Linked DNA regions of Danio rerio. The protein of the gene in region 1 interacts with the protein of each later gene in a biochemical or structural test. Links are inferred from orthologs where the notes say so. Each region holds a gene or a part of one and is shown on either strand. Other genes may lie near its edges. The genes, in order: kpna1, kpnb1 and stat1b.

Region 1 (3,656 bases):
TTGTGGAAACCATGATATATTATTTAAGTAACATTTATTTTAAATTTGCAAACTACTTGTGCATTGTTTAAAAAAATGTATTGTACAGATCTATTAAGATCAAAACAAGACTTTTACCTTGGCAAAATCCGGTGGTGGATTTTTCCCTCTGCACAGGTTAGACAGAGCCCAGACTGCGTTTCTCATCATAGTCAGGCGATTTTGTTTGGCCAATAACCTGCAATAAAAATCAGCACAATCAGAACAGCCATTCAAAGATATGGGTGCTCTAAAAAAAAGATAGTATCACTTACTGTACTAGAGAGGGCAAAATATTGCAGTCCAGAACATAGTCCCTGCATTCAGTGCTGTCACCGGCGATATTACCTAAAGCCCACACTGCCTGCAAAGAAAAACACAATCACAAACTTACATAGGTCCTATGAATTCTCAATATACAAAAAAGCTTGGAACAGACTGAACATTTCATTTGCAGCTAAATATTTTATTTTTATTAATTTTAAAGTATAAATGCAGTGATGATTTTCTAAAACGAATTAAGTTGAATTCAAGTTTATTTGTATAGTCAGGGTTCATACACATTTTAACTACTAAAATTCCAGGACTTTTCCATGAAGTTTCCAAAACATTCAGGTAAATATTTATGACCTACTGTCATGAAATACACATGGTAAATAAGACAAAACACACATTCAAATTTATTACACCATATCAAGAAATGTGTGACAATCTATGTAATATGTTTATTTTTATATTAGTGAAACAGTTTTTAGAAAATATCTTGATGTCTGTATGAAAATTATCTTTTGGAGAAATCTCCGTGATTTTTCCAAAACATTTTGGGTTTATTAATTTTCCTGGACCTGGAAAATGACCTGACAAAATTCCATGACTTTTCCAGGTTTTCCAGGATCGTATGGACACTGTATAGTGCTTTTCACAATAATCATTATTTCAAAGCAGCATTACAAAAGGTGTATGTTATTGCATAATAATCAAAATCAGAAAAGTTAAGGTTAATAGTTACCATAACTTTATTAGTTGCTGATTACTTAAATTAACTAGTAACTAAAAACTTTTAACAGAAATAAGATATGCTTATATATAAGCATAATTAACCTGCAGTTATATAGTATATAGTAAATGAATAAATTGCTTTTGTCTCCTACAGATGAATCACGACTAGGTTTACTTTTTAGGATTTTATTGTAACATGTTTGAGTATTTCGGGCTTGTATGTAAAAACCTAGGGCTGGGTGATTAAAGAAAGATTTAATGCGCATTTTGTCAGTAAAGCTGCTTCTGCAAAACTTCCAGGACGATTTCTTTCAGATGGAGCAGCATTCCCTACACCAAGTTGTAGTTTATTGACAAGAAATTGAATAAACCTTATAAAAATGACATTAAGATAATCGTTCTGCTGTTTGTGTAGCTTCTCGGTGAACTACAGCTCTGTATAGAGCGGCACAGAAAAATTCTATATATAATAATGCCTTTTATTGTACTCCAAATACACTTTATAACAGTCGAGTGTTTGAAATAAATTCTTTTGTGAGATGATTTCATAGTCGTGTGTTAATTAGTCATGCTGATTCAAAGCAGTTAAATCTTTAGGCTAAAATGAAAACCTATGAGAATTTTCTGGTTTCTTCATCGGGGGGTGTTTGGAGAATCTGTGAGAGCGCCCTTATAAGATATGCAATTTAATTTCATTTAATTGCCCAGCCCTATAAAGTCCCTTGTAAATGTCTATAGTATGAGATGCTTACTTGCTCCTGTACATCTTCAAAATCTGAGCTGAGCATCTCAATGAAAATGGGCACTGCCCCAGCCTGGATGACCACACGCGTCTGGTGGGATGTTCCTGAGGCGATGTTAGTCAGAACCCACGCTGCTTCAAACTGCACACAAAGACAAGACGTCTGTCACCATTCTGCACAAAAATGTTCACTAATGCACCATTCAAGAGCTGATGGGATTAAATAAAGATTCAGAGAAGACTTGCAGAATATACACATTCCAGGAGTGTGAGCATGTGCTGGGAGAGACTCATGCTGGATGACTCACTGGCTCACTGCTGCGACTTGGGGTTTTCAGTCTAGCAGGTTTTTTTTTTTTTCAATTTGTGAAACAAATCTTGATTTGATTCAGTGAATATAGATTTCACAATCAGCAAACACTATTTCAGATACATGTAATAAGAATTATGAAATATAGCAGGGCATTTTCAAAAATAGTAGGCCCCTTCATAATGAACATATAAACACGGAGATTCTAAATAGATCAAATAAATTCTACATAAATTTAAAGATATGAAACCTCCCCTTCTCATCAGCAATGAGTTTTTGACTTTTTTTACATGCTCTTGGAATGAAAACGATTCAGTTCACAAAACAAAAGTCAGAACAGTTCCAAAAGAGTTTTTATTTTCTTTCTTAGGCTGCTGTCTTTTTAATACCTTACATAAATAATGTGTCTTTCTCTCTTGATGCAACATACTGTTTTAATATTTCCAAAGAAAAGAAATATATAAAATCTCTTGGGATTTTAATATTCCTTAAATATCCATCACCTGTAGTGTGCAGTTCTCTCTTCTTTTCAGGAACTCAACAAATCGCTCCACGACACCAGGGGTGGCAATAACCTCATCAATAGGGGGATTAGGCTCTAATGGAGGGTTACAAAGACAGAATTAGCATAATTTAGCACTAATTTGATTATGTAAATGCTTGATTTTTAGTCTTTGGGGTATTTCACCTTTAGATAAGAGCTTTCTGAAGCGCTGTGTTCCTATGAGCTGTTGTTCTGGAGAGCTGGAGAAGATCATCTGTATCATGTCTTCAGAAATAACACTTCCCTTTAACGATGGAAAAACAAAAAAAGGCAATTAATTTTTCATCAGTAAGTAAAAAGCTAAGACTAGCCTTCATTTTTGCTGTACTACCGTGATTTGGTCCATATTGTTGGCCTGTGATTCCAGGTATCCGCTGTCAGACATCCCATCATCTTCCAGTGCTCCATCCTCCTCCACTGTGGCCACATTTCTGCGCTTGAACAGCTATAAGAACGTTCAAATTTGTCAAAGTTGAAACTTTATCCCCAAAGCTTCTCTTAAGAGTGCACTTTACTTGCAATTTTATTTAAATATATTTTATTTTTCAATATATATTTTATTTTTTTATTTACAATCAAGCACTCATGCATCTTCACGACTCTTCAAAATGAAAGCTTCAATTGATGAAATTGAAACAGAAATATTGTTGTCCAGTAGAATGTACTTTTCTAATAATAATAATAATAATAATAATAAAATATTTAAAAACATTAAATATGACAAAAATATGATACAATATGATTTTATGCTAGCCCAGTAATAGTTAATAGTGAATATAATACTTTACACTATATACAATACACTTTTATAAATTTTAATCAAACAAATTCAGATTGGTGAGAAACTTTTTTTCAAAAAGACAAAAATTTCTTTTCATTATATTGTCTCAAAGTTCATTCCATCCTTCCTATAAATTTAAGGCTAGTTTAATAATATCTTTATTAGTAAAACCACAAGAGTCAAATAAAACAGAAAAACAAGTCACTCTTATCTCCACTTGACTTACTTGTTCATCTTTCTTTTGTTTTCGAAGTTGCAGGCC
Region 2 (4,253 bases), on another chromosome or scaffold:
ATTCCAGCGTGCAGACTGGACGTCTGTGCCAGAGTGTGTCTTATTACGTCTTACAGTGTGCTGCATTAATGCATGAGTAAGGCTTGGTTCAAACCAATCAGCGCGCTCTATTGTGCAACTTCATTAATATTCATTACTGTCACCATGTTTACACGACAGAGACGCCACGTTGTGTTGGCAAAACAAGCGTGAAGTGTTGCTTTAATAGTTTGCTGCAGTGAAGTTTTGTTTTCATTTTCTCTCTGTGAGAGCGCAGCTGGACTCACGTGTGGATTAACAGTGTACGCGACGCTCGACAACAATAACTTACGTGTCTAAGGAGGATTATTGTTTACCTGAGAGCTGTTCTCATCTGCAAACGCTGAGATCCGGATTGTAGTCTCCTCTAAATAAAGACGCGGCTCTAGTTGCTGGTGATTGTCCTGTCTCTACAGGTTTGGTAAGTGAGCGACCAGCGCTCTTTGTTTATATCTAACAAACTATTGCACCGAGTGTAAACACGTTAGCACCACAACCAAACTTTACCCTCGTGTTGGATTTTGTGACCGCATTTAGTGACCGGAATAACACACGCGGCTTTCTGACACTACCTGCCGAGTGCATTTAAGTTTCCGGGAAATGCTGAGTTTTTTTTCTCTCATTCGCCGTGCGGGATCAAACATTACATGAAAAATACACGCTTAGAGCAGTTCCTCGAATCACATATCTCGTTTGTCGCGAGGGACATGAATGAATTCCCTGAATGAAAGAGCCAAACTGCAGTTAAAGTCCAGCATTTAATCATTTGGCAAATAATTCGACTACAGATGTGCATGTAGGTTAAACACCATCACTTTCTACTGTGTGTGTTTTGACTCTGAAACTCGCGCGTGCCCAAATAGACACTCCCACACCCTCCCACTTTAGTTCCTCCGACACTCCCCCCTAAACAGAGCTGGACACGCCCACTTTTCTGACTTTTTCCAGAGTAGAGGTGTGAAAACACCCTGCTGAAACGAGGGGGTCTCATGGCCCTTTAATAATGCAGGTGTTTCAGTCGGGCCTTAAACAGCACAGCTGAGCCCAGAGCTCAATTTACCCGCTCTACCACAGAGCTCCATTAAACCTCCACAGGCCTGTCTGCACAGCAGAAGAACAGCAGTGGCGGTGCACACACACACGCGCACACACACACACACACACACACACGATGCCTCCATCATGAACACGGCTGTCTGCAGGTGTAGTGTTCAGGTGCTGCGGTTTCCTGAATATTAAACTATAATCATCTGCAGTGATGTTCAGGAGAAACTGAGCGAAGTTTTTCACCACAGCTGATCATCACTGAACTCCTGCTGCTGTAAAGGCTGATCTCAGAACAGCAGAGTGACCGCCATGAGGACTTCAAGATGAATACTCAAGTTCCCCATGCTGACGCTCACATCAACATCACACACACACACACTCCAGCATGCTCCGTCAGTGATCAGGGGAAGCTGAGCGCTGCACTACTGTAAGTGAAAGTACTAAACTCCTGCAGATCCACATTCTACAGCTGGTCCAGCCCGTTTGAGCAAATACCGCCATCATTTAGGAGTGTGTGTCTGATCTCTGTGAACACACACTTTACCTTCCTGCATCCTGAAGATCTCTCTCTCTCTCTCTTACACACACACACACACACACAGCATCCTTACGTAGTTCTTGATCTCCCTGCGTGCGCTGGTGTCGATAGCCAGCCATCTCTGCTGGTACTGACTCTTCACTTCCGGGTCTTTAGAGGTCAAAGAGTTCTTGACCTGCAGGCCGGCGGCGACGCGAGCCACCTGTGTGTTCCCCGGGTTCGCCAACACCTTGGACAACTCCACCAGGAAGGTCGGCTGAGAAGCAGAACACAGAGTTACACACACACACACCTGTAGGAGAACCAGTGGTCTGCTGGAGCTGATCTCAGCACAGTACTGAGATCCACACACACAACAGAGTCCTGGTCCAGAAACAATTTACACACTATCAATTCAACACAGTAGTACAGTGTGTGTGTGTCTGTGAGACAGTTGATGTGTGTGTGTGTGTGTGTGTGTGTGCTTCATCACCAGGTTCTCGATGGCCGCCTGCTCCAGAAACTTCTGTGCCGCCTCCAGCTCATTCCGATCTGAAAATCAATCACAATCATCAGTCAATTCCCTGATCGATCGCTTGTGAAACTCTCCCGCCAAACGCGGAGCTGCGCGTCAGAACCGGGAAACTCCGCATCGCGCTCGGCCACAGCGCTTTACCGGGCTCCGAGCGGGAGGAGAGTCGGTGTAAACTAGACACGGCCGTACACGCGCGAACTTTCAGAGGCAGCGGCACAGGATGACTGAGTGCTAGCCATGCTAACACCTAGCCACTTCCTGACTAGCATGCTAACTGCTAACAACTTTACCAACAGAAGCGCGGGCGGGACAAACCCCACGGCGGCGCGACATGTGCGCGACCATGAAGTAGAGCCGTGTGTCGGTGTGTGAACTCTGATCATTAACACTCGTTACCGCGCAGAGACCGGACACACCGAGCAGGCCGGTAACCCGCTCCTGCTCTGGCGAGCCGAGGGTCCGGCTGCTGTTCGCCACTCGACGGGTGGAGATTAACGCGTCGCGTTCGCGGTTCAGCGACCGGGCCTGCGCTGCGTTAGCCGCCCGCTAACCGTCGCTCACACCCGGGGAAGCGGCTCAGCCCCGGTCATCACGCGGGAGAAACGGCATCCGTGCGCGGGAGAGGCGCGTGTGAGGATTGCTTACCTGGAGACACGGTCTTCTCGAGGATCGTGATCAGCTCCATCCTGTCGGGTCCGCGGGGGCAGAACGAGTGCAGTCGGTCGGTAAAGTCGGTCGGTCCACGCCTAATGCTGAAGCGCCGAGCCGTTCTCGCGGTTACCGCTTCTGCTCATCAGCCGCTGTCGCGAGGAAAAGGCCGCGCGGAACTCCCGCCCGCGGAACGATATCACGCGCTGACGTCACAGGTCCCGCCCACGCGCAGCATCATGACGCTCTGCTGCCTACTGAGGGAGCGTCTCGATAGTGTGGAGAACTGCGTTCATTACAAGAGCCCGTCAGACCGAGTGTGGGTCAGAAAGAGCAGATGATGAAGACACGGAGCGCACTGTTATCAGGGGTAGCGTGTGGTGTGATTCCCACGGCACACTGATTACTAGAGGAACAGCACCTTCAGGCGCAAAGTCATCATTACTCAGCACTTTGATGAAGTGAACTGCAGATGTGCACTATTATGACACACACTGAGGGCTCGTTATAGCTGTCCCAATCCCTCTGCAGAACACTACACACACAGGGAACAGGAAGCAGGTCTTCAGTGTACTTCAGCATAGTGTACTGCAGCCGTGATCATGAGCCCTTCAGCCTGAGGAACACTGATCACACACGAGCGGAGGAGAGTTCTAGAGCAGCTTCCTGTGCAGAAGCACACACACACACACACACACACACACACACACAACAGCGCTCCTGCTCAGTGTGCTCAGTTTATTATTGCTGTAGAAGAGGCAGTGTGTGAGATGGTGTGTGTGTGTCTGTGAGAAAGCGTGTGTGAGGTTGTGTTTGTGTGTGTGTATGAGACAGTTTGTGTGTGTGTGTGAGGCTGTAGTTGACACTCCTCCATCACTGTAGGCATTCAAGTCAATATTTTATTTAACATAATTCATATTGCAGTCATCGTGAACAACTGGGATTTAATATACACAACAGAATTGTAACATTACGCAACCCTCGCTAACCCGCCCCGTCCTGCAGACCCGCCCCCCCGCTCTCCAACAGCCAATCAGCACACATATCCCAGCGGCCGCCTGTGCACCGCCGGCGATCAATGCAGCGGCCATCAATTTATAAATGTGATCAGGAATTGGTCAAATGCAGCGCTAAACACAACCGATACTGAGAGAATCTGGCAGACAGAGACATGAGGACGACTGAACACGGCTGATGTGTGCGGCGCGGGGCAGCGGCCGTCTCAAGCCCAAACCAATCAGTCCTCAAGCTGGGTGATGGAATAGAGAAGTGTGTGTGAGTGTGTGTGTGTGTGTGTGTGTGTGTGTGTGTGTGTCTGCCCCGCGCACGCTCATGTTGAGTGGAGGATGAGTTAGCATGTGAATCTCAGCAAAAAATAAACAGTGGGTACCAGCATAGTGGCGAAATACGACTGAATTCTCTGAGCAACAACCACTGACCAGCCTGTGAACGCTCGCCACCGTCCCGCACACCCGAGAGCGGTCAGTG
Region 3 (3,656 bases), on another chromosome or scaffold:
GTGAAGAAAAAACCTTGAGAGAAACCAGATTCTCATTAAGCTGCATTGACACAATCCACATGGTAAAAAGCGCTACAGAATTAAAGATGACTTGAATTGAGTGTATAAATCATTGAGTCATCTCACCTAGAAGTTTGTCGGCTATTGTTCTCAGCTGATCTGAGGTCAGCGCTCGTTTGCTGACTGAAGAAAACTGCCAGCTTATGACCTTTGAAAGCTGAACCCATTTCACCGGTGGCGGATTCAAGAAGAACGTCAGATTCTGAGACAGAGAGCGAGATCAAGAGCGTGAGTCAGAATAGAGACGTTAGCGGAGGAGGAAAATGTTGATGATGGTACTGTAAATGGGCCCGTACATGTGGTTCACCGCTGAGCATGTTGTACCATAAGATTGAGCCCCAGGCACTGGGTAACTGGTTGACATGTGAGATCACCACAATAGGAAGTGATATGATCTGTTTAAATTGAAGCAAACAGGTCTGGTTAGAATTACTGGTCTGATCAAGTGTTTGCACTGGAGTAGAAACTTTTCAAAGCACTTTACCGATAAATCAACACTCAGCTCTGGCTGAATAAGTTGAGTTTCAAAGCTAAGTAGGTGCATCTCCTCTGTAACGATGAGAGGCGTCTGAAATATATATAAAAAAACATTTGTTAATGCTTTTATCACTTAATTTGACATCATTGCACACAGTTAAAAGCTGTTAATTAACAGTTTTTTTTTATATTTTGTTATTCACTAGTGTTTGCCATTTTTTTACGGTTGTGAATTCCATTATGGGATGTTGATGTCTGCTCTGTCGACTTTTGATGTTGAAAATTCAACTCTGCAGTTTAATAAAGCGACTTTTATTAACATTGTTTGAAATAATATAATGTATAAGAAGTAACATAATTCTGGGAAATAAGTCTGTAAAATAGAAGAAAATGTACTGGCAGATTATTACAAGGTTTTTGTAATCGTCTGATTGGTGAATCATAAATTGAATAATGCGGGACCAGCCGCTAGCAATCATAAGAACGTGATCCTCTTAAAATAATTTTATAAATAAACTTCACTTCAAAAGAGTTTAAAGCAAACTGACATTAGTAACTTTTAACTGAATGATTAATATAATGAAGTTTATGCAGTGCTATTTTACAATTGATATTACATTTTATTATTCAATTTCTGTACCTAAATACTGTTTGACTCTCTGGAAAACCATAAAGTTCTATGTTTTTCATTGCTCTTTTGCATTTATTTTTTGCTTGCAATTTGTTTATTAATTTTCATCCATGATTCACATCCTTACAAAATCACTACAATCAGTCTAAATTCAAGATTTCTTTCCAAAATAACGTTATTAAACCATTTGGTGAACATTTTAATCATATTGCAATATATACGCAGAAAACCTAAATGTTGCAATGTCAATTTTTTTTCAATACCGTGCAGCCCCACAATATACAGAAAACTGCTCATTTACAGATATTTTTTAAAGTGCATGTTTTTTTAACCTACCTCATTGGTTCTGCTAGTTTTCATTTCTTTTAATTGCTGTAGTAAACAGTGAAAAAGAAAGAGGAACAATTAAGTTTTGGATTTGACATGATCATGTGTGTATGAATCAGCTGTGTCTTATTCTGTAGTTTTTTTAACATCATACCAAATGACGAAATTCAGCTGCTAGACATCCACTGGATTCTTCTAAGTTCATAACTTTAGTATTCGTCCCTAATATGTTGAATTTTCTACCTCTAGAACATTAGAATATAAGACAATGTTATAATTTCAGCTGGTGTCATGCTGTACATAAATTATAATTGTGCTATACAAATGATAAACTATTTAAACATGTATTCAAACAAAACTATCTGAATAATTTATCAGTTGTATTTGTGCGGTTGTCTTATCACATTGATAAATGGTGTGTATAGTTAAGTAATATAGCAGTCTTGTTCAATTGTGGGTTGCAGAGGTTTTTGTGGATGTTGTCTGGGCCACAAGATATTACATTGGACTCCTTGCTATATATCTAAATGCTCTGTCTCAGTCAAAATATAATTTCATAGTATTAATAAACCATATTTGTTCTCTGAAATTCTGTGTAATATGTTACTTACCCTTTTATTGTGTCCCTCTCTGTTAAATTTCTACAGGAGGAAAACAATAAAAACCATTAGATAGATAGATGGATGGATGGATGGATGGATGGATGGATGGATGGATGGATGGATGGATGGATGGATGGATGGATGGATGGATGGATGGATGGATAGATAGATAGATAGATCTGTAGGTAGGTAGGTAGGTAGGTAGGTAGGTAGGTAGGTAGGTAGATAGATAGATAGATAGATAGATAGATAGATAGATAGATAGATAGATAGATAGATAGATAGATAGATAGATAGATAGATAGATAGATAGATAGATAGATAGATAGATAGATAGATAGATAGATAGATAGATAGATGGATAGATGGATGGATGGATGGATGGATGGATGGATAGATAGATAGATAGATCTGTAGGTAGGTAGGTAGGTAGGTAGGTAGATAGATAGATAGATAGATAGATAGATAGATAGATAGATAGATAGATAGATAGATAGATAGATAGATAGATAGATAGATAGATAGATAGATAGATAGATAGATAGATAGATAGATAGATTGATAGATAGATAGATAGATAGATAGATAGATTGATAGATTGATAGATAGATAGATTGATAGATTGATAGATAGATAGATAGATAGATTGATAGATTGATAGATAGATAGATAGATAGATAGATAGATTGATAGATTGATAGATAGATAGATAGATAGATAGATAGATAGATAGATAGATAGATAGATAGATAGATAGATAGATAGATAGATAGATAGATAGATAGATAGATAGATAGATATAGCTTACTTGTCAATAAAAACTTTCACTTTCAGTTGACAATTCAGTTCAGGGAGTTTGACTAGTGACCTATGAAATAATGTAATATAAAATAGCACATCAGACTAAAGATTGACTTTGAATAAGCATCACTGGAATTAAAAGCTCTTCTTCAGAACCATCAATTAAAATGAGTAAAAGCAACATTAATAATGAAAGAAACCCACCTGATCTTGACGGTGAACTGAACTCCTGTTTTTATTACCAAGGGTCTCTGAGGATGTGTTGGCATACAGGGCTGCCTCTCCACCACAAGAGAACTAAAAGACACGCAAAGAAAGATCAAAACACTGTCGGCCTGTTCAACACTGAAATCTGACACACGCCATAATATATAATCAAATTTCTGTTGGTTTCCTCTTTTACTAAAGCGTGTGTTCTACATATGAAGTCATTTTCATGATGAGCTGTGGTGTCTCACTTTAATATGAGGCTTTTGAAGAGTGAAATGGCCTGTTCATCCAGCTGGCCCCTTCCTAGATTTAGCGGGTCGTTGCTGTAGGTGAATTTCTGGACCAGTTCCTGAACTTTCTTCAGCTGCTGACGGATCTGCTGGAGACACTCTGCCACCACCGTGAACCTGGAGAACAAGTCACGCTTTAACTATTTATAAAACGTATATACTGTATATAAATATACTATACTGTAAAAATAAGAGCAATACAACCAAAAGGAGCTCCATCCTATGCCCACATACAATTTGTAAATTCATTATAAATGC

What was found.
Region 2: the proteins of kpna1 (region 1) and kpnb1 form a complex in vitro, tested with the Homo sapiens proteins (6 studies listed by BioGRID and IntAct, with this or other methods). The link is inferred for Danio rerio from reciprocal best matches to the Homo sapiens genes KPNA1 and KPNB1.
Region 3: the proteins of kpna1 (region 1) and stat1b form a complex in vitro, tested with the Homo sapiens proteins (2 studies listed by BioGRID). The link is inferred for Danio rerio from reciprocal best matches to the Homo sapiens genes KPNA1 and STAT1.

The regions. Positions count from the first base shown.
Region 1 is NC_133199.1:24,830,393-24,834,048, forward strand, and holds part of kpna1 (importin subunit alpha-5), read right to left. Parts: coding exon 3,621-3,656; intron 3,059-3,620; coding exon 2,945-3,058; intron 2,858-2,944; coding exon 2,758-2,857; intron 2,668-2,757; coding exon 2,573-2,667; intron 1,902-2,572; coding exon 1,770-1,901; intron 383-1,769; coding exon 294-382; intron 218-293; coding exon 118-217; intron 1-117. UniProt on the Homo sapiens protein: Functions in nuclear protein import as an adapter protein for nuclear receptor KPNB1. Binds specifically and directly to substrates containing either a simple or bipartite NLS motif.
Region 2 is NC_133194.1:51,598,419-51,602,671, reverse strand, and holds the start of kpnb1 (importin subunit beta-1), read right to left. Parts: upstream 2,955-4,253; 5' UTR 2,803-2,954; coding exon 2,763-2,802; intron 2,135-2,762; coding exon 2,076-2,134; intron 1,860-2,075; coding exon 1,677-1,859; intron 1-1,676.
Region 3 is NC_133184.1:42,961,720-42,965,375, reverse strand, and holds part of stat1b (signal transducer and activator of transcription 1b), read right to left. Parts: intron 3,516-3,656; coding exon 3,357-3,515; intron 3,196-3,356; coding exon 3,103-3,195; intron 2,966-3,102; coding exon 2,906-2,965; intron 2,137-2,905; coding exon 2,107-2,136; intron 1,741-2,106; coding exon 1,650-1,740; intron 1,541-1,649; coding exon 1,505-1,540; intron 629-1,504; coding exon 545-628; intron 456-544; coding exon 357-455; intron 263-356; coding exon 127-262; intron 1-126. UniProt on the Homo sapiens protein: Signal transducer and transcription activator that mediates cellular responses to interferons (IFNs), cytokine KITLG/SCF and other cytokines and other growth factors.